4 linked regions of the Rattus norvegicus genome follow. The protein of the gene in region 3 interacts with the protein of the main gene of each other region in a biochemical or structural test. Links are inferred from orthologs where the notes say so. Each region holds a gene or a part of one and is shown on either strand. Other genes may lie near its edges. The genes, in order: Bmp7, Bmp2, Bmpr1b and Gdf5.

The links.
Region 1: the proteins of Bmpr1b (region 3) and Bmp7 form a complex in vitro, tested with the Homo sapiens proteins (2 studies listed by BioGRID). The link is inferred for Rattus norvegicus from reciprocal best matches to the Homo sapiens genes BMPR1B and BMP7.
Region 2: the proteins of Bmpr1b (region 3) and Bmp2 form a complex in vitro, tested with the Homo sapiens proteins (3 studies listed by BioGRID and IntAct, with this or other methods). The link is inferred for Rattus norvegicus from reciprocal best matches to the Homo sapiens genes BMPR1B and BMP2.
Region 4: the proteins of Bmpr1b (region 3) and Gdf5 interact in a biophysical measurement, tested with the Homo sapiens proteins (3 studies listed by BioGRID and IntAct, with this or other methods). The link is inferred for Rattus norvegicus from reciprocal best matches to the Homo sapiens genes BMPR1B and GDF5.

Annotation. Positions count from the first base shown.
Region 1 is NC_086021.1:182,131,391-182,137,008, forward strand, and holds the start of Bmp7 (bone morphogenetic protein 7 precursor), read right to left. Parts: upstream 3,757-5,618; 5' UTR 3,333-3,756; coding exon 2,918-3,332; intron 1-2,917. UniProt on the Homo sapiens protein: Growth factor of the TGF-beta superfamily that plays important role in various biological processes, including embryogenesis, hematopoiesis, neurogenesis and skeletal morphogenesis.
Region 2 is NC_086021.1:141,263,393-141,269,078, reverse strand, and holds the start of Bmp2 (bone morphogenetic protein 2 precursor), read right to left. Parts: upstream 3,556-5,686; 5' UTR 3,312-3,555; intron 2,260-3,311; 5' UTR 2,253-2,259; coding exon 1,910-2,252; intron 1-1,909. UniProt on the Homo sapiens protein: Growth factor of the TGF-beta superfamily that plays essential roles in many developmental processes, including cardiogenesis, neurogenesis, and osteogenesis. Induces cartilage and bone formation.
Region 3 is NC_086020.1:233,211,373-233,216,318, forward strand, and holds the end of Bmpr1b (bone morphogenetic protein receptor type-1B), read right to left. Parts: intron 3,870-4,946; coding exon 3,744-3,869; 3' UTR 153-3,743; downstream 1-152. UniProt on the Homo sapiens protein: On ligand binding, forms a receptor complex consisting of two type II and two type I transmembrane serine/threonine kinases.
Region 4 is NC_086021.1:164,914,888-164,920,570, reverse strand, and holds the start of Gdf5 (growth/differentiation factor 5 preproprotein), read left to right. Parts: upstream 1-1,977; 5' UTR 1,978-2,215; coding exon 2,216-2,828; intron 2,829-4,776; coding exon 4,777-5,651; 3' UTR 5,652-5,683. UniProt on the Homo sapiens protein: Growth factor involved in bone and cartilage formation. During cartilage development regulates differentiation of chondrogenic tissue through two pathways.

The sequences.
Region 1 (5,618 bases), on a different chromosome or scaffold from region 3:
GCTAGGCCAGGTCTCTGCAGGATCAACTTTGCCTGGGGACTGTTTGAGAGAGTGTGGCCTGTTTTGAATTCCAAAATGAAGTCTACCCAGAGGAGTAGGGGGCTTGTTAATCCAAACCAGTTTACAGATCTTGTCATTGAACTTCGGGGCCAGAGCCAGGAGGATGGGTGTCCCACGCTAGCCGGCTTTCCCAGGGACTTTATGGTTCAGGCTGGTCTTTGTCATCTGGGGCAGTCAAGTCCTCACACGCAGCACCTGGTTTTGCTGTAAATTTTCCTCTGGTGTGGATCCCACTAGGCCTGGCAGACTGCTCGAATTCCAGGGAGAACAACTTACAAGAACAAAAACCAGTTTGGCTGCAGACAGGAGGAGAGAGGCAGTGGATCTGCAAAAGCCTTCAGGGTTGAGGCAGGGGGTCCCCCAAGCAGGCAGGCCTGAGGGAGAATGGCGGAGGTGTGTGGGCAGAGGTGTGTGTGGAAGGCAGCCAGGGGGTCCGGTCTCTGGCACCAACACCAAATGCTCTAAGGGTGACAAGGGGTGGTTTGACAGGAACCAGGACCTTTTCTCATTCGGGGAGCAAAGGGTAAGCGTGAACCTGGCATTCTAAAACTTGTCTATTTCTGACCAGACTACGCTTTCTCAGCAGCCTCAGTGTGGGGATGAGTCTCTGGGGGTCGCTACACCCTTCTTCAACCCAGCTGCCATCCCCAGGTCATAGCAGCAGGAGCAGGAGGCCTATGCCTGTGCTGTGGCCCAGCAGAGATTAAAGATGCACCTACAGGAAGCTCTTAGCAGCTACAGTCTGGGGCTTCCCCTAATTACCTCTAGCTTAGCGAGAGAAGGAGAGAGAGAAAACAAGACCCTATCCCTGGGTCCTGTTAAAAGCCACCCTGCTATCTAATTAGGAGTGATGGTCCAGAAAGCCATGCCTGAGAAAGGACAGTCCCACAAAAGCCCACGGCCAGCCCCACTGATTAAGAGGCTCAGACAAGCCAGGCTTTGTCCTGTCAACATGAAAGAAAGAACGGACTGAAAGAAAGGTGTGTGTGCAGCCAGAGGAAGCCACCCAGCTGTGGCCTCCCCAGCAAGCCCCAGCTTGTACCCGAGGGAGGCCGGGGCTTGGGGGTGGGGAGCAACCGCCCCTGCCAGGTTCCCAGCAGGGCCCTGGGAGCTGCCCTGGAAGCCACCTGGCCCTTTGGGATGAGGGAAGCCAGCTGGGGCCACACGGCCAGACCTGAAACACAGAGACTGGCACCAAAGTCTGGGATTATCTGTTGCAGCTCGATGGACCAGCTCTGAACTGTCAGCTAGGACCCACTCACTGGCTTCCTGGAGATCACACCGGAGAACAGAAGAGGCCATAAGCCCTGACCCTCACCCAGGGCCTTGTTATGCCTGCCTTCAGGATAGGTTCGCAGATCCACGTTGACCACATACTGCTAAGTCTCTATTGAGGAGTCGACTTTAGTTTTTGGTAATAAATCCACATTTTTTTTAAAAAAATGGACGCAGTGAAAGGCGGCCTCCCTCTCCCAGCACACCAAGCCCTACCCCCAGGAAAAATCTCTTTGCAATTGGCCTTTCCTACCTTCAGGGTTTGGAGGCTATCCCAAAGCAGGACCTCTTCTTAACAAGTGTCTGAGGAGAATTTGAATTTGCTCTGTAATATTTTGTCAGCTCTATCACAGGCCTTTACACCCTGACCCTTGCTTGATTCATTATTTGACACTTTTTGATCTTAAATGGAAACAGACAATGGTCTCCCAGAAGCTCCAAGGCCTTTATCTGGAGCTGAGAGGATTAACGTGGACCCTTTCTTCCCGGAGATCCCTTCAGAGCCCCAGGTGCCCAGTGAGAGAGAAAAGGGGGGGGGGGTGGCCTTAAGCTTCATTATTTCCAGGTTGACGGGCGCCCATGGTGTGTTTGGTGTCTTGACTTGGGGTTTTCTCAGCAACTTCCACAAGCAGAAGAAAAGTGACTCAGGAAACAGCACTATCAGGGTGTGTTATCACCAAAGCCAAATATTTGATGGCCAGCCCCACAGCGCACGGTTGGGGGTTAGTTTGAGCAAGTTAGATACTTGTGCGCGCACAGATGCAGGGGGAGCTGTCTCAGACCAGCCGTAACCCAGCCTCGCATCCCTTGGTTGGCTGGAACTACAGTATGGAAACGGTTTCCCCAGCCATTCCATGGCGGCCTCTGTTCCGAGGTCCCCAGCCACCCAATCGCCAAAACCCGTGGTTTGCGCGCCACACGTGATAAACGCTGAAAATGGATTCTGCCCGCCCGGGACCTATCATTAAATATTTAAAATAGAAAACTCGCAATGGCAACGTTCTTTCCCCGGCTCCAGCCGAGAGTCCAAAGGTGGGCGACTGGCGGCTAGGAGAGGAGCCCCGCGACACTCCGAGCGCGCGCCGAGAAGGCGCACCGCAAAGGGACAGGTAGGGCTGGCCAGAGAGGGCAAGGAAAGGGGATGTGCGAGATGCCAGAGCCAAGCTGGGCTCAAAGGGGCGGAGGAAAGGCGGGAAGGCAGCTTTACTCTCAAGGGCCCTTTAAATCCAGGTAGCGCGGGCCGCTGAAGCCGGTTCAGCTCACATGACCCAGCCGGGCGCTTTGAACTAAGCCGCTGCCGGGCCGGGACCTCCCGCCCCTGAGTGAGATGAACGCGCGGCGGAGCAGGCAAAGAGACTCAGGGCAGGTCCTTCCCTCTCGGTACCCCCCACAAACCCTCCGAGCCGGCAAGACTCAAAGACTCACAGAGCTTAAAGTTTACCAAGACCCGGGGGCAAGAGTCTCTGGCCGGCACTGATGCTTTGCAAATGGGAAGGTGGACCACAGTGGTTGAAAGCAGGCACCCTCTCCCTGTCCCAAAGTAGCCCTGGTCTGAGATATATCACCTCCTACCGCCACTCACCTAGGTTGACGAAGCTCATGACCATGTCGGCGTCGGTGAGGAAGTGGCTGTCCTGCAGGCTGGCCAAAGGGGGACCCTGGGTACTGAAGACGGCCTTGTAGGGGTAGGAGAAGCCCTGTCCGTCCGGCCCACTCTCCTCCACCGCCATGGCGTTGTACAGGTCCAACATGAACATGGGCGCCGAATTATGTTTTCCCTGGAGGTGCGGGCGCGGACGATGGGGCAAGCCCAAGATGGACAGGATTTCCCGCTGCATCTCCCGCCGCTCCTGACTGCGGAGGCGCCGGTGGATGAAACTGGAGTGCACCTCGTTGTCCAGGCTGAAGTCGGCCAAGGCAGAGCGCAGCAAGAACAGAGGCGCCCAGAGCGCCACGAAGCTGTGTGGCGCCGCAGCGCGCAGCGAGCGCACGTGCATCGCGCCGGCTCTACGCGCGATCCGGGGCACCGGGCCCGCGCCGCCCCAGGTGGCAGCGGAGGGGGCAGGGCAGCGGTCCACGACCCGAGGTCACTTGCTGCAGACGAGCTTCACCGTGGCCTCGCCACTCATGGCCACTCCCTGGCCCGCTGCGCTCTGCCCGAGACGCCCCAGTCCTCTACTCAGTTCTGGCCCGGGGCCCCTCGGCCCGCACTCGCCAGGACGCACCGCAAGGCTAGCACAGCAACTCCAGAGAGAGAGCAAGAGAGCGAGGAGGCGGGCCGGGGTGGGAGGAGCAGCAGTTTGCAGACCTTCAAGTCCGGAGAGCGAGTGCCGGGGAGGCAGCAGGGCGCTGGGCGAACCCTCGCTCCCTCCTCCCACTCTGCTCGCGCTCGGGCCCGCGGGCACCAGCGGGAAAAAAAAACCCTTCCGATCTCCCGCGCCCCAAACAAGGACCCCAGGTCGCTTCTCCAGTCCTGCGCGCCCCAGATCGCCCGCCAGCCGCCTCGGGAGCCCCGGAATGGGGCGCGCTGGGGCCGAGGAGTGGGGGGAGGAGCAGGAGGACCGACTTCCCCGCCCCTCCCGCTCCCGCGGCCTCCCACCTGCGCCTGTCCCCGCCCTCCCCAAGCCTGGCCCAATGGCTTCATTCATTCCTCCCAGGGCGCTCTACAAATATTTACCGAGTGCCCACCGGGTGTCCGGCACTGGGACGGACGCCTCAGGGGCGCAGAGAGAGGAATCCGAGGCTGCAGCCCTCTAGAGACTCGCACTTGGAAGTGGCCAAAGTGTAGCAACTATAGGCTGTGCTAGGAAAGCATCCCGGAGGGAGCGCAGGAATCCGAGAAGGCTCCTCGGAGGTGGCCACTCTTGGACAAGGCTCATCTTTCGAACCTCCCGAACACTTCATTTGCTCCAGTCAAGCAGAAACACCCGCCCACCCCCGCCCGTACTCCCACCGCCTGCCAGCTTCGGCTGCCCTGGCTTTTGCTCCTCAGGGAAAGTTCTCTCCCTGCCCCTCCCCCTCGGGTGCCACTTCCTCTGGTAACCTTCCAGGACCGAAGATAAAGTGGAGATAAAGTTGTTTCCTCCTACAGACGTTACTTTTATTTTCTGCACTTCACTCCCCAACACACACAAACACACACACACACACACACACACACACACACACACACACACACACACACTGTCATCGTCGTCCTCCTCCTCCTCCACCTACCCCTACTCCTCTTCCCTCATCCTCCTCCCTCCTCCTCCTCAGGTTCAGCACCCAAGGGATCCGGTACAGGTACTTCGAGGCTTTTTTTTCCCCTAGTATTTTTGAACTGCGGATCCCCAGATGTTGCAGCTCTGCAGAGTTCATAAGTGAAATCTGGGACTAGAGAGTGCTCCCACCCCCTCCTCTTGGGGGGGTCCACCCACCCCTTATCCTGGCACAAGGGGCCAAAGCCTTACTGTCTAACAACCCTACCCCCAGCCCCAGGTAGGGCCTGAGGAGTAGGGAGTTGGGCATTGTACCCAAGTTCAGGACAACCCCCCCCCCACACACCCACACTGAATTTTCCTGTCGCAAAGGACTAGCCTCCCTCTCTTCACAGAAAGAAAGGACCCAGACAGATGCTGGAGCTCTCAGTGGATAGCTGCTCTTTAGAGCCTCGGTTTCCATTTCTGAAAAATGGGAGCAAAACAGCATTCACTCAGAATGGCAGTGAGCTGTGGGGTGGTAAGCCAGGCCTCCCTGCTCTGCTGAAGGCGGGCTCCAAGAATATCCATGGGAGTCTGAATTAAAGAGTGGCAAGAGGGGCTTGGGAAGGACCTTGAGTAGAGGGCTCCATCTTGAAGTCCTAGGGTGAAATGGGACAGCCTGGTCTTCCGGGCTTCTGGAAACAGAGATAGCTACCCTAGGGCTCTCTGGGCTCCTTGGGAGGATTTTAGACCATGTGGCTGCCTGAGGGGCCGCAGGGATGGCCCCAAAAGAGACCTGCAGGTCATAGTCCAGGCTGTGGACACCAACAGTACTGTGTCCCCTGCCAGCACAGCTCTGAGAGGCCCCTCCCTGGACCTGCTGTGGCTTGTGAGCTGAGGCCACTCAGGCTGTGAGCTGGAGACATGACCTCCAGTGACCAAGTTACAGTTCTTAATATTGAATAAACAAAGGGGCCCTGCCCTTACTTCGGAAGGCTGTGTGTGGCCTTCTGTGGCCAGCAGGAGTGCCACACATAGGCCAGGCAGGAGGACATCAGAGTGATCAAGCCAGTGTGGCGACCTCCATGACTAGCTGGTTCT
Region 2 (5,686 bases), on a different chromosome or scaffold from region 3:
CTAAACTCTAGGCTACTTAACAATGTGAACAGTCTTCCCATATGCCGTGTATACCTGATGATGACTGAAAAGAAATGGTTTCTGAGATTTATGGTAAAAATCACATCTGATTGCACCAAGATATAAAGTCAGTGCAAGTTTATTTTAAGCAGGTCGATAACTTCTATACAGTTTTACACCAGAAAAACCACTTTTAAAAATACAATTTTTCTTGTGAACGGAAGCTCACTAAGTTTTAAAATAAGACACCTAGATAGCGTTTTGCCTGTGTTTTTATCAAGCCACTTCCAAATGAAGACTGAGAATATGTAGATTTTATTGACAAACCTTACATTCAATTGGATTTTTGAGTTTTAGTTGACTTAAATGATGCTTTTAGCTTAGTTAAGATAAAGATAAAATAACTCGTTCATTTTTTTTTACAGGTAAAGAATAATTTTTTTCACATTAGAAAATACTAATAAATAAACAAATACACGAATAAATTGTTTTCCTGCTCTATCTCCAAAGGCAGTGGGAAAAACAGCTGTGCTGGCTAGTGGTTTTGTTTGTTTGTTTTGATCTACAAAACATTTTCCAATAAATATTAACCCAGAAAGATTAGCTTAGCCCTGGGGACGGGGGCTGGGGGTGTACATTCTGGAATCTCCCTCTCTCAGCAAGCAGACCCTAAGGAGCAGAATAAGGTCTCACTATCTTTCAATACTGAACGTTGTCCCCAGAAAACCTTAGACACCAGTTTCTAGTGCCCTTCATAACCATTGGCTGCCTCAAGGAAGATACACCCCTTGCTATGTGACCTGCCGGTGGCTCTTTTTCCTATTATCAACCAGACTTCTCAAAGTTTGAGTCATCCCTTATTGGGGATGGGGGTTGGGCTGCCATTTCAGAGCATAGATTTCTACTTAAAATGTATCCTCTCAAGAAAGGCAAAGCGAAGCTTTAAAAAGGGAACTTCTCTCCTAGCTCCCCATTGTTCTATAAATTGCAGCTCACTGACAGACAACTCTGAATTCTTCTAGAACTTGAAGGAACTGATATCCTATTGAGATTGCATTAAACCAAAAGCACATTTAAAGTGACACACACGGAATTGAACTGAGGCACGATTATTATTATTATTATTATTATTATTATTATTATTATTATTATTATTTTTACTAACTGCTATAAGGACATTGGCACAAGAGACTTCAATAGGCCTCTACAGCATGTCTTACCCACTAAATCTCCTTCCGAAGAAATAAACATTACTCTACCTTGGGAAACCATACTCATATCGTATTTTTTTAAAAATTCCATTACCTTGTCTAGGAAGGTAGCAGGCAGTGGGAGAAAATGCTTTTATCTGAAGGCTTGACCTGTCTCCACTTGGAGACTTAAGAGTTAAGCAGGAGAAAGGAAGGTCATTGGGGAAACAGTATGATGGATTGTGGAATTGATCTCCCACGGGGATTAGATAGGGATTCAAAAATCTTTCAAACGAGGCCCAGATGAACAGCAAATTTGAATGCTTTGGGGCCCTGGATTTGATTTGTTAATACTACCTCTGCCTAGCTTAAAACTCCAGCCTGAACACAAGCCACAGATCTGAGCTTCCACACAGATTTAAGGAGCCCCAACTCCCTGCCTTCTGTGAAATTCTCCCACAATGAGCTGACAAGGGGCTAGCCAGTCTCTCACCCTCTTCCCCATCACTCGATTTCCCTCCAGTTCTAGTGGGGAGGAGTCTGTCTGCTGGCCACCTGCCAGGAAAAGGGTGCGGACTCACCAGTGGGGAATCCCTGGCTCGGGGCCACAGAGGGGACGGTACAGAAGCCGAAGGACCGTCCACTGTGCTAGCGGAGGCCCGGGCTGCCCACTGAGTCTCCGCCCGCTGTCCCCGCCCCGCCACCCGCCGCCCGCTCACCTTCGTGATGGAAGCTGCGCACGGTGTTGGCGCGGCTGGCTGCCCTCTCCAGCCGGTGGTCTGGGGCGGGCGCTCCTGGCTGGCCCGAGTGCCGGCGGTACAGGTCGAGCATATAGGGGGGCACCACGACGTCCTTGCTGGGGGTGGGTCTCTGCTTCAGGCCAAACATGCTGAGCAGCCTCAACTCAAACTCGCTGAGGACGTCGTCCGAAGGCCGGGACAAGGGGCGGCCGGATGCCCCGGCGAACTTCTTGCGGCCCAGCTCCGGAATGAGGCCGGCCGCGCCGCCCAGGAGGACCTGGGGAAGCAGCAACACTAGAAGACAGCGGGTCCCGGCCACCATGGTCGACCTGCGGACAGGGCCGACGTGAGTCACCCACGTTCCCCGCCCAGTCCTCCGCCCGCCCCCGCGGCCCCGGCTCCCACAGGGCTCGCTGGCCTTCTCCAGGATGCCCTCCTGGCATGTCATCCAAGCTACAGCCTGGATGATCAAGAGGATGAAGAACCCCTAAGTCCCAGCCGGACTTCTCACTTGGGGCTTGGTCTTAACTCCCAATTTAAAAAAGAAAAATCAATGACTGTCTGTCACCTTTTCTTGTGACACTAGCTAGTAAAGCCTGTGTCAGGAAGCTGGGAACCCATAGATTGTTCGGACACTGCATCCCTTACAACTATACTGCACAGCGTTCATTTGCACATAAACAGACACAAATGCACAAGTGACTTCCTTAGAGGCGCCGTATAGAACTTCCTGGTAGATTGTAGATTCAGAAAGCGGTAAACTAAAGATTAATACTAATGACGCCACTTGCAAGTCGTGGCCTACGCCCCTAACTTCAAGGTTGACCCACAGGCCACTCTGTCCCCTTCTCCAGACCCCTGTGCAGTCAAGAAATCCATGCACCTTTCTGCAATGACCTAAATAGATAGTGTCTATAAATGCACGTGTAAGCTGTGACACATCCGCACAGTCAGTAAACACACACAAAAAGAACCCCGACTTTTAGTAGCTTCCTAAATGGGACCTAGTTCTTAAGGATAGCGAAGGATCTCTAAGGCTTGGAGTGCTGGTGGGCAATGAACTAGTGAAATCCACCGGCCATACTCTCTAAATGGATTTCTGCAATTTGGGGGCGGAGGAGGGGGTAAAGCCCAAAACAGCCCTGATAATGTATTTAAAACTGGGGAGGAGGAACGGGCTGAAAGGAGGTCGCAGACCAGGTGGGCAAGACAGAGGGATCTGGGGTTCAGAGTGCCTGACCCCTCTAGGGATCCGCTCGCTGCACGTGCACCGGGAGAGGGTATGTTTACGTCCACTCCACCGGTCCTCCGAGGCGCCCAGCGCCGCCGGGCGGGAAGCGGTGTCACCCGCCAGCCCTGGGTCCGGGCCCGTGTCCTCTACCTTTAGGAGACCGCAGTCCGTCTAAGAAGCACTAGGGGGCACGTCCATTGAGAGAGTCTCCACATGGAAAAAGCTCTGTCCGAGGGACCTGGAGCAGCGACTGGGCTTCTGTTGCCTTTCTTCACCTCCTCCTTCTCCGGGTGTTCTCCCCGAAGGGAACCGTGTCTTGGGGTGGGCCCAGCCGGCCAAGGAACAGAGAGGTGACCGGGCTGGAGGCGGCGGCAAGACTGGATCCGCCGGGCGAGGACACCGGCGCGAAGTGGGGAGCCCAAGTCACTCTCCCGACAAGTTCAAGAAGTCTCCAGCCAAGTGCTGACACACAGCCTCAAGCAGGGGGAGGAGTGCGGGGCAGGGACGGGGAGGGAAGGCTGAGGCAAGGCTGCTGCTGTCGTCTTCCTCAGGGACCAGCGCTGGCGGGGCGCGGGGCCGGCTCCGGGACTCGCCGGGCGAGGGTCGGACGTTCTGCGTTAGCTGGGCCGCGACCCATGGCTCGGGGCAGCCATCGTGGGCGACGCCGGGTCCCGGCAAGGGCGCAGCGAAGATCTGGGTGGCGGGCGGGCCGCCACTCCGCATCCCTCAGCCTGACTCTGGCGCACCCCCATCAGCGCTCGCCAGCGGAACCCGCACGGCTGCGGCGTCCCGGCGTCCTGGGGCTCATTCTCGAGACAGTCCAGCCGCGCGTCCCCGGCTGCCAAACCGGGTGACCTCACGCTCCGAGCCCTCGGGCCAAGTGTCTTTTGTGGCAGCCTGGGGTCCGATCACTCTTCCTGCTCGCCTCGGGCGCTCACTCTCGTGTCGGAGTAGCCCAGCGTTGAGGGTAAGACTGTGCTCCGGACTCCCGGCTCTTAGCGTCGGTCCGCGACTCTGGCTTCTCCCGGACAGCTGAGGCCACAGAGCCGGGCGCGCACAGTTCGCAGCTCCAACCGGTGTCGTGCCGGCCCCTCGAAGCCCCGGGTGACCCTCGCGTCGCTCGCCCTGAGGGCGTCCGATGGCCGGTGTGGGCTAGGGAGGCTTCGTCCCGAGCTGCCAATCCCGGGCGGGCTGTGGGAAGCGCAGCGGCGGGCGCAGTGCGAGCCGGGCTCTGCGCGGCAGGGCGAGGACTCCGGCGGCGACGACGGAGGCGCCGTGGCGCGGCGCTCGCGGCTTTTAAAGGAGACGCCGCCTGCCGGCTCCCTCCCGGCCGTGGCCGAACACCTCCCCCTCGGAGGCGCAGCGCGCTGGGGATCCCCGGGCGGGCGGGAGCAGCGCGCAGGGGTGTGGACGGCGCGCCCTGAGGGGCGGCCGCGGCGGGGCGGGGCGGGGCGAGCGCGCGGCCGCTAAGGGGTCGCGTCCCGGCTGAGTGTAAAGCAGACCCCCGGGACCAGGATTCGTGCCCCAGATGCCCGAGTTTAGGGCAAATTCAGGGTAGGCTTGCCTCTGAGTTCCCCCACTGGGCCAATATTCAACTTGAGTTTGAAGTTTTTAGGTAAGATCACATTAAAAAGAAGAACCTAGAAGTTATCAGACATGTTGGCAAAGATGTGAGCAAACGCTTCTCTGTTTTGAATGGTGAGAAGAAAATGTCAAGAAATAGCCAATACACATTCGAGTGTATTATTACATTTTATAAATATTCATACATTTATATGCGCCCATGTGCATATATAGTCAAATAAATGAATCTAATAAAAGATGTATATACATATATGTATTCATTTATGTAAATTATAAAAATGAGGGTACAGGTTCTGTACATAGATATACACATGTAAAGTGGATGTCCCCTCTAGTGTTTGTGTGTGTGTGTGTGTGTGTGTGTGTCTGTCTGTCTGTCCATGTGAGGGGACAATGGGAGTTAATAGAAGTTCTCTTTATAGAAACAATCACTTCCATACTTGGGCTATTTATCTCCCCTCCCCCACCCACCTACACCAGAGGCAGGTAACAAGACATTTCTGGTTTGAGACTTTTGAATTTTCTGTCTGGCCCTCTCCACTAGGTCTCCAGAAGCAAGACTCTGACTGTGGCTAAGCCACTTTTCTTCCTCAGCTGGAATGTCCCCAAAGCTGCTGATCCAGGATTCGTTTTGAACTCTTTCCACTTCTCCCTCATTTCAGGAGCCTTCATACATACTACCACCTTGTTGCCCACATGACCCCCAAAGCTATGGGCAGAACATTTCTGTGGAAGACCAGATTGGTAATACCAGGTTCTGAATCAGATCTTTCAAGTTTGCAAAGCAAAGACAGAGAAAAACCAGAAGGAGGGGCTTTAATAATCTATTATCCGTGTGTATTAGCTTTTCAGTTGGGAAGCTAAAATAACTCTAGGTTCTGCTCACCTAAATCAGATTAGCAACCCACAGAGGGAAATTAGGCCCTGGCTGTTTCTAGAGC
Region 3 (4,946 bases):
GGAAGACACCAGTTCACTCTCACCTCAGGATGCCAGTGCACAGCCTTACCTGCTCTGCTTCCTCCAGTGGCTGCCCTTCCCACCCTCTATCATGAGGTCATTTCAAAGAAAAAGAAAAGGCCCAACTCTGAGACACCAGTCATAGTTTTCATATGGGGAGAATGACACTGTTTTATTGATGGAAATAAGAAAACAAAATCATACACAATTTTTAACAAATAACAACTGTTTGTTCCCTAACCGTGAATAATTACAGTATATACAAATTCCCTAAGGCACTGGTTCCCCAAAAGTACACAAACGAGTCTTGTTTTGAAACAGACAGAAAAGAACGCCCTCCCCCCACCCCACCCCGCCACCCAATATTACCAATTTTTCTGTTAATATGTTTCTATGGCATTAGTTTCTATAACAATTAGTTCAAACTGTTCAATTGTATCACTTTTGATGCAGCCCCCTTCTTGTGTTCTTTATGAGACTGGGGTTTTCTTAGATGGAAAACATGTTCAAGCTTAAAAAAAAATGTATTCTCACTACCTTTCAACCCACAAACCAAGAAGAGTGACAACAGACAGAAAACAGAAAGCCCCTGATGAATGAGGGTGGCCCGAGGAGGAACAAGAAACCTGGTCATTACTAAGTACCAATGGAAGTAAAACCCGGCATGTCCCCCCAAGAAGCTTCCCACTGGGGGAATATAAAGAACAGGCAGTAGTGACGTCACGGTGCTCTGTCTGAGTCAGACATATTGTTTACTGCTCTTCATCTGTGAGTTAACAATGTTCATGCTTCCATAAATAAATATTAGGTTTCATCTAGGACTTTATCATCCATAATATTTTACTTTCTAATCCACATACTAGGGTTGTGCCAGACTCCAGAATGAACATATTTATTTACATATACATCTCTATATTTATATAATATATACACACACGCACATCAACCATAAACTTGGATACGCAAAGTTCATCTAACAATTAATAATTTAGGATTCCTTTGGGGGAGAGGAGTTAGAAGGAAATCTTGCTCTTTGAAAGAGTCCTGAGGGTCAGCAGCAGTCAGTTATATTATTAACGTGCAGGAAGTTGAAGCAAAGGATAAAATAAATGCATATTTTCTGAGATGCTAGAAGTTTAAATGTTATCATGGATTACCGCGAAGATAACAGGTAGTCCTTAACAACAACTTAGTTGTCTCAATTAGGCTCTACTAAGACAGAAATTATATTCATAAATAAATTATAAATTCTTACTGAAAATTCATAATAACTGAGTGGATCTTTTAAAGGATCTCCATAATTTCAAGATTTTCATACTGAATAAATAAGGTTGATAGTTAGCAAATAAACGGCTGATTTTTTTTCCCCCAAAGCAGTAAAACGAAACATATAGATGGAATTTGGACACTTAAATCCCCCCCCCGTTCTTCACAGGAACCCTGGAAATCTAGAACACTTTACATCATCAACAGCCTCATCCAAAACATTCTGATTTAAAGTTGCCCACAATTAAAAAAGAAAAAAAATCTACCAATAGGAAAACACAGTCTGAGCTAAGAGGTTCCCCACAACCTCACTCAAACCTAAGATAACGAAAACCAAAGCGTACCCACTTAACTGGCAAAATGCTTACATAGGTGTCGGTAGACAGATCTGTCTAGAGGCGATAATGTTTTCCTCCCAGGCTCAGATGACTGGCACGTGTTAGGTAGAAATATATGGAAAATCTGTCTGTGGCAAATATAATTTAACAGAGAAAAGGCTCTCCCGTGGCTTAGCTTGCCCTGGACTCAGTAAGACCAAAATGTGATGACTGTTAAATTAACAACCAGTTGTTTTTATCTTTTCAAATTCAAGAACTGAGAAAACCTATCTTAGTGGCCCTGCAGCACCGCACAGTGAATTACAACGCAGAGGAGCGCTTCTCTTTACACTTCTCCTAAACTCCAGGTACAGCTCAAAAATATTGAGCTCAGGATTTTTTTTTTCCAGATGAACAGCCCACCGGCTGAACATCTACTCGAGAAAAAGAGTCAAACATTTGCTCATTTCTCCTGCAGCTGTCAATTTTTCCTAAGGTCTCCATGCTTTCAAGCACCCAGCGGTGAGATGCATAGGACAACAGTGACCCCTGGAGGATTCTGGAAGGAATTGCCGTTCTCTAAGGCACAGCAAGTTCTTCCACTTTCTTAACAACCAGTAGGCAGTTTCTAATCATTATGGAAGAAACACAGTAAGGGACTACATGAATAAAGTTGAGAGGAGGGCCGTGTGTCATTACACTTTGTTGCAGTTCTGTTTCTATGGAATAATGGTCGTATCAGTGATTTTGCACAGAGAGTCAAGGGTTAAGACCTCACAGGACCGAATCACAAGATGTTTTGTACAGAAACACTGTAAGTTAGTAGTGAAATGCATACAAGAGTAAATGAGTCCTACCTAAGGTGTGAAATACCAGGTAAGAGGTCCATACTGGACTCATATCTGTTCTAGTAGAAATCACAACAGCCATGATGTTGGATGTCCCCCATTCACTTTCCTCTGCTTATTTTTAAAGTAAAGGCTAGTGACGTTAACCCAACAGAAACTTCCTCTCTGTCTCTGAAGTTGGAGACTTAGAAAACACAGCAATATGAAACTATACATATGTACACAAGCTGTGGCATCCATACTTCTCTCCTGGGGTGCTGTGATGGGTTTAGGCACAGGGAGGAAACAAGCCATCTACATCTGCTGCACCTTCAGCCTCGGCTCTGCCTCACTGGTATGTCTTTCTTATGACACAAGCTCCAATCACTTCCATTTAAGAGTCCCTTGTCTGTCTGTCTGTCTGTCTGTCTGTCTGTCTCTCTCTCTCTCTCTCTCTCTCTCTCTCTCTCTCTCTCTCTCTCTCCCTCCCTCCCTCTTTCTACCACACTCGCGACAGTTTTATTTAATATTGATCTTCTGATTTACAAGAACAAAAGCATGCCCGTGTCGATTGATTCTCCGCTCATGAGAAGGCTTTGCTGGTGTTTAATGAAAGCAGGGGTTGGGGGGGAGGGGCTGGAATTGCCTAAAAGAGCTGCCTAACACACCCAGAAGCAGGAGTGGTTCTGAAGAAGCCACCCACACATAATCCTATCAGTGACATAAACCCTTCATTTGTTCCACTCTGGCTGAAGCTGCAAGAGGATTTCAAACTGTGGTCCCAGGCATTTGGGACTTGTATGCATGTGCATTCACACTGCACTGGCAGCTCATAGCAGGGCTGGCCCAAACAGTCTGAGGTGCCTGGAGCAGGGAAGCAGGTAAGTTGAATTCTAATTTATGTTCACAGTCTGCTCTGTTTTCTAGAGTGCAAGAGTAATTTGCCAATGGAAAAAACATTTTGACTTCCAGGAACGTTTCTAGGAAGAACTTTTGTTATTATTTAAACTATGACTGTATAAACCTCAAAACATCTACAATATTTGTTTTATTTTGGTAAAAATTAAAGTATCTTTCTTCTTTAAAAAAAATGGTAATCCCAAAATACAGGGCTTTCTTAGAAAGCAACATGCATCATATCTTGAACAAGTTACCCAAATGGTTTCCCCTCCTCAGAAAGCCATGGTGAATCCGTGTTTCTGGGTTCCTCTGTGTCTGTCCAGCTTGCTCTCTTAGAGGAAAGTCTGAACTCACTGGGCAGTAGATCAACGTTCAAGGCTTGGGCTAAGGATGCTTCTGTGTAATTCCTTGCTCTGTCCACAAGTACCTGACGTCAGAGTTTAATGTCCTGGGACTCTGACATTTTGGCAAGTGTTTTCTTAACTCTCAGGGCCGTCAGCCTGGAGGCAGGATTATGCGCCCAGCACTCTGTCATAAGCTTCCCCATTTGCCTGAGGCACTGAAAGAGAAAGGGACGTTGGAGAGAAGTCAGAGAAATGTGCTCTTTATACAGAACTCAGAATTTGGCTTTCAGTTGGTGTTCATGAGGTCTGAAGCTATTTTTAAGGCACCAGTAAAGTATGAACACCAAATTTCACTCAAACTTTTTCATGTGAACTGTTTATGACTCACCCAGACTCTCATATTTCCCTCGTGACAAGAGAAAACACGAGGCCTTGAGGAGAGAGAAGGATGACTTTAAAGACAGGATCAAGCAAACGGGATGCTCAGAGAGTCTGAATTCTACTCCCTAGATTGTTTACAACACATAATGTATTTCAACATTTTAACTAATTCTGCACTGCTCAAAGAAACACTGGTAATTCTAAATCACGCAAGTCTGCTCTAACAGTAGCACGATGCTACACCACTTAACAAGATTAATGACCTGTGGATAGGTTTGCTAAAACTTTCTCCTGGATTTGCCTGTGGTCTATCAATCGTTCTTGCTGCAAGGCACGATTTCCCTTCATTAAAAATCATCATTGAAGAGCTTTCAAGTGATACCAATACCCACTGTCTACCCCCAGAAGAATAGAACTCCAGAGCTTCTTGAAAAGCACATACTAAACAGATTGGACAATACTCCAGGCCAATGAGCCAGTTAATTGAATTTCCATGGGCATCTTACTTTATGAACAGCGTTCTATGCACCTGACTTTGGTGGGCCCAGAATGTGCTCCAAACTCTTCTTGAACTTCCCAACATGCCAGAGGCTCAGTTGTGGGCAAGTGAATGCAGGAAGGTGGATGGAGAGACACTGGAGCAGAAAACAAGTCTAAAGTCCAGGTCTGTCCCACTCACTTTATCCAGCCTGGCATCAGCCTTTCCCACTTGCTTGGGGTTCACATTTAAATTCTTACAATAAATAGATTTGCAGTTTGAGAAAATATACATTCAGTACATAAGACATGCTTATATTATATTTATATTCATGTGTGTACATACATACTTACACAATTATATATACGTAATGTATTATGTATATATAATATATAATTTGATAACCAATTGAGAAAGACTATTTCCAACTTTC
Region 4 (5,683 bases), on a different chromosome or scaffold from region 3:
TAAAGGGCCAGGAGGGTAGGGCAGTGACGGAGACCTCAGGAAAAAGATGCCAGAGAGGACTGTGAAAGTCAGTCACAAGCGAAGACCAGAGTGATGACCTGGATGACCAGAGGGACTGTAATAAGTTCAAACTGTCCTCAGAACTCCTTAAAGAGGGTGGGTGGCGCCTTGGTCTGAAGTGAGCTCCTCTTCAGACTTAGGAGCTATCAGTGAAGACTTGAATGGAGCTAGGAGCAAAATTATGAGGGGTGGGGGTTGGGGTGGGGGAGAAGAGTACTTGCTGCTCTTAGGAAAGACAGAATTCTGCTCCTAGCACCACATCAGGATGTCTCACAGCTGCCTGCAACTCCAGCCCCAGGGGACATGACATGATGCCCCTTTCTGGTCTCCTCTGGCACCCTCTTTCCATACATACAAATAAACAAAACAAATACGAGAGAGAGAGAGAGAGAGAGAGAGAGAGAGAGAGAGAGAGAGAGAGCGCCTAGATCTGCAGAGTGAGGACTTTGTTTGGTGTTGTCTTGGTGAGGACTTTGTGCACGCTAACCCTGCACTGGACTACTGAGTGACATGCCTAGCCTCCAGCAGAGAGTCTCTAGAAACCGACTTAGCATATGAATGAATCTGTTAGGTCAGCTCTAAGAGCAGAGGATTAATAAGGAAAGCTAGACTAGGTGGTGCAGTTCTATAATCCTACTCTGTAGCCAAGCAGGTGGAGGTAGAAGATCAGGAGTTCAAGGCCAGCCTTGTATATATAGTGAATCTGAGGCCATCGTGAGTTACCTGAGACATTATCTAAAGAAGAAAAGGAAGAGAGGGAGAGGGGACTCTCTTCAGTTAAGCAGGTATTCAATTCTTCACCAGCTCCTAGAAAAACAACCCCCGGAGAACTTGTTTTTCCAACTTCCTGCAGGGGTCGCTGCTGCCTTAGGCTGGGGCTGCCACCTCGGGCCTCAGCCAATTTCTAAGAAAACTGGCGGTCTTTGCTTGGGTAGTGGCTGAGGTACGCACACCCTGGACCTGTTTCCAGCCAAGGGGGCTACAGGATGGCAGTGCTCAGCCAATGGCATTTGGTGGGGGTGGTATAGTGGGCAATGACTTTTTTTTTCCTGTTTTTTGGGTCACAAGTTTATCAAAATAAAAGAAAGTGTGGGTAAACGCTGCCATCTGTGCTGTCCTCAACACACGCACACACATGTGCACACACACATATATACACACACACACACCCTACACACCACACTCCACACCACACACACACACACACCCCACACACACCCCACACTCTACACCACACACACACACACACACACACACACACACACACCCGAGGTCCCAGATGAGACAGAGAGATTGAAATTGCTTTACAGACACTCCAAGGACTTCACTGAAAACCTACCTCGCATGTTTAGTCCCTGCAGGTCTCTGCACTCGCTCTTCAATCTCTCCACTCAGGATGGTGGGGTGAGCTGCTCCAGGAGGTGGAGGTGAAGACCCCTGAGTCTACTCTGGGATGGGGAGGCCCCCTAAGCCTGAGTCCTGCTATGGGGCTCTGAGCCAAGAGCCCCCATGAGCCATGGCCTCCAAAGGGCAGCGGTGATTTTTTTCACATAAATATATCGCACTTAAATGAATTTAGACAGCATGACATCAGAGAGTAATTAAATTGGTTTGGGTTGGAATTCCGTTTCCAATTCCTGAGTTCAGGTTTGTAAAAGATTTTTCTGAGCACCTGCAGGTTTGTGTGTGTGTGTGTGTGTGTGTGTGTGTGTGTGTGTGTAAGTATTTTCACTGGAAAGGATTCAAAATTAGAGGGAAAAAAAACTGGAGCGCACAGGCAGCATTACGCCATTCTTCCTTCTTGGAAAAATCCCTCAGCCTTATACAAGCCTCCTTCAAGCCCTCAGTCAGTTGTGCGGGAGAAAGGGGGCGGTCGGCTTTCTCCTTTCAAGAACGAGTTATTTTCAGCTGCTGACTGGAGACGGTGCACGTCTGGACACGGGAGCATTTCCACTATGGGACTGGATACAGACACACGCCCGGCGGACTTCAAGACGCTCACTCTGAGGAGAAAGCCCTGCCTGCCGCTGCTGCTACTGCTGCCACCGCTGCCTCTGAAGACCCACTCCTTTCATGGTTTTTCCTGCCAAGCCAGAGACACCTTCGCTGCTGCTGCTGCCTTTCTCTGTGGTGTCATTCAGCGGCTGGCCAGAGGATGAGACTCCCCAAACTCCTCACTTTGTTGCTTTGGCACCTGGCGTGGCTGGACCTGGGACTCGTCTGCACTGTGTTGGGTGCCCCTGACTTAGGCCAGAGACCCCCAGGGGCCAGGCCAGGGTTGGCCAAGGCGGAGGCCAAGGAGAGGCCACCTCTGACTCGGAATATCTTTAGGCCAGGGGGTCACAGCTATGGTGTGGGGGCCACCAGTGCCAGGGCAAAGGGAAGCTCTGGGCAGACACAGGCCAAGAAGGATGAACCCAGAAAGGTGCCCCCCAGAGCCAGTGGCTCTGAAACCAAGCCAGGACCCTCTCCCCAGACTAGGCAGGCTGCAGCCCGGACTGTAACCCCAAAAGGACAGCTTTCTGGGGGCAAAGCATCTGCAAAAGCAGGATCTGCCCCCAGCTCCTTCTTGCTGAAGAAGACCAGAGAGCCTGGGACCCCTCGAGAGCCTAAGGAGCCATTCCGCCCGCCCCCCATCACACCCCACGAATATATGCTCTCGCTGTACAGGACGCTGTCCGATGCTGACAGAAAGGGAGGCAACAGCAGCGTGAAGCTGGAGGCTGGCCTGGCCAACACCATCACCAGCTTTATTGACAAAGGGCAAGGTGAGGGGGTGGGGTGGCAGGGAGGGGCATTTGCACAGACCTAGAAGTTCCAAAGTCTTGGAGTATGCAGGTGGGGGACAGTGTGTGTACCCAGCCTAGGGTGGGAATCTGGAACTTATCGTACCTAGGGACCTTGGAGTTCAACTTCTGCAAGGTGCAGAATGGACTCTAAAATGCAGAGAGGAGCTAAGATCTGCTACTTGGACACTAGACTCCAAGACCCATTCTTGATTACTGAGAGGTACTCTGTACCCCCGTGGGTTGGTAAAGTCTCTAAGCTTCGGTTTTTCTCAGAGAGCAGAGAGAAGGAAACTTTAGGTCCCCATGGTTCTTCAACTTTACCCTCAGATAGGGGTAGAGGGAGCAGGCTATGTGAGGACAGAAAACTTGTCATCTTGGAGTCACAGAGAGAGGCAGCTGGCTGAGGGCACACGGAGTCCCTTCTTCCCTGGGGTCTCTTCTTATAGGTATACTACACGGGCATTGGACGGGGTGACAGCTGAGCATTCTGAGTGGGAATCAGTAACCTGGGAGAGTACTTGTCTTTCTTGCGTCGCCGGAGGTCTGCCCACCTAGTGTTTCAGGCTCTTCCTCTCAACTTGCTGTGTGTTCTCAGCAAATCTCTTCCCTTCTGAGTCTCAGGTTCTCCACAGTGTGGAGATAGTTGGGCCGGTGGCTGGCAGTTGGTGAGGTTTCTTGCGGGTTCACAGGCTCTGGTGCTGAGTCTCGGGACTTTGGCTGGCAGGGTGGGGGAGGGGCCAGAGAGTGGGAGAGGCTTCTCATTAGAGTTGGTCTGTAGGGGAATGACAAGGGGGTGGGGGAGGTACAGAGGCAGCAGGTCTGGCAGAGGTGGGGGAGGTGGCCTGGCTGCCTGCCCAGCCAGGGAAAGCTGTGACCCCTCGAGGGCTCATAAAATAAGTCCTTGTGTCCCCCCCCAGCACTAAGGGAGAGAGGGGAGGGGGAGATGGGGAGTTTAAAGGCCTAATTAGTTACCTTCTAGAGCAATATTTGAATGTTCCCTAATGGCATATTGGCATTTAGGAAGGAGGGCATGCTGATTCAGAGATTACACACACACACACACACACACACACACACACACACACACACACATACACCCTTATATTTTATACACTCAGTAAATGAATCATATACATACACACATACATATATAGCATCATTTTCAAGTATTCATACAATCCCAACTCTACTTACATATGCCAGTAGCATATATATATATATACACATATATATATATCCATCCTTATACTTACTCATGAACCCAATTGCACACACACACACACACACACACACACACACACACACCCACACCTGGAACACTCATATACCAAAAAAATCATGAAATTGGGAACTTGGGAAGTTGAGTTTGCAGATCGGCTTTGTTACTGATTTGCTGTGTTACCCACGTCAGTTTCCTCCCCAACTCTGTGTCTTGCCCATAGCAAGAACGCTAACATCATTAAGGTATGAGAAGCTCAGAATGGACTATTCAAATTCTAGGCTACAGTTTTACTTCTCTATTTTTCCCCTAGCTAGATGACATTGAATAAGCCCCTAATTTACTCTGCGCTTCAGTTTTCTCCTCTGGAAAAGTGGGTAAGACAGGTACACACCTCCTGTCTTATTTACAGGAGATAATCATGCTGGATCATGGATGGGGCGGACACTGGTAGAAGACAGTTATAAGGCCAATGACTCTAATACACATGGGCACAAACATCAGGGGCACTCAGATAATACGCAGCCTCATACCTACCTTCATTGGGAAAAGGGCTCTTGGTGGTTTGTGTGTTGGCTTCAGCCATAGTGGGGAAGAGGTTAGAGAAACCTCTTTTGATTGGGAGAGAGCTAGGTCCTCTCTGGAGACCCAGAGGTGGCGGGCTCTCTTGGTGAAGTGACAGAATTGACTTCTGACTGTTTTCTCTAGATGACCGAGGCCCTGTGGTCAGGAAGCAGAGGTACGTGTTTGACATCAGTGCCTTGGAGAAGGATGGGCTGTTGGGGGCTGAACTGCGGATCTTACGGAAGAAGCCCTTGGACGTGGCCAAGCCAGCGGTCCCCAGTAGCGGGCGGGTTGCCCAGCTGAAGCTGTCCAGCTGCCCCAGCGGCCGGCAGCCGGCAGCCTTGCTGGATGTGCGCTCCGTGCCAGGCCTGGATGGATCTGGCTGGGAGGTGTTCGACATCTGGAAACTCTTCCGAAATTTTAAGAACTCAGCGCAGCTGTGCCTGGAGCTGGAGGCCTGGGAACGGGGCCGGGCCGTGGACCTCCGTGGCCTGGGCTTTGAACGTGCTGCCCGACAGGTCCACGAGAAAGCCCTGTTCCTGGTGTTTGGGCGTACTAAGAAACGGGACCTGTTCTTTAATGAGATTAAGGCCCGCTCTGGCCAGGATGACAAGACTGTGTATGAATATTTGTTCAGCCAGAGGCGGAAACGGCGGGCACCATTGGCCAATCGCCAGGGCAAGCGACCCAGCAAGAACCTCAAGGCTCGCTGCAGTCGCAAGGCCTTACATGTTAACTTTAAGGACATGGGCTGGGACGACTGGATCATCGCACCCCTAGAGTATGAGGCCTTCCACTGCGAAGGACTGTGTGAGTTCCCCTTGCGCTCCCACTTGGAGCCCACAAACCATGCAGTCATTCAGACCCTGATGAACTCTATGGACCCTGAATCCACACCGCCTACCTGTTGCGTGCCTACGCGGCTGAGTCCCATTAGCATCCTGTTCATTGACTCTGCCAACAACGTGGTATATAAACAGTACGAGGACATGGTCGTGGAATCTTGTGGCTGTAGGTAGCAGTGCTAGTCCTCTTGTCTTCCAGGGTGGCA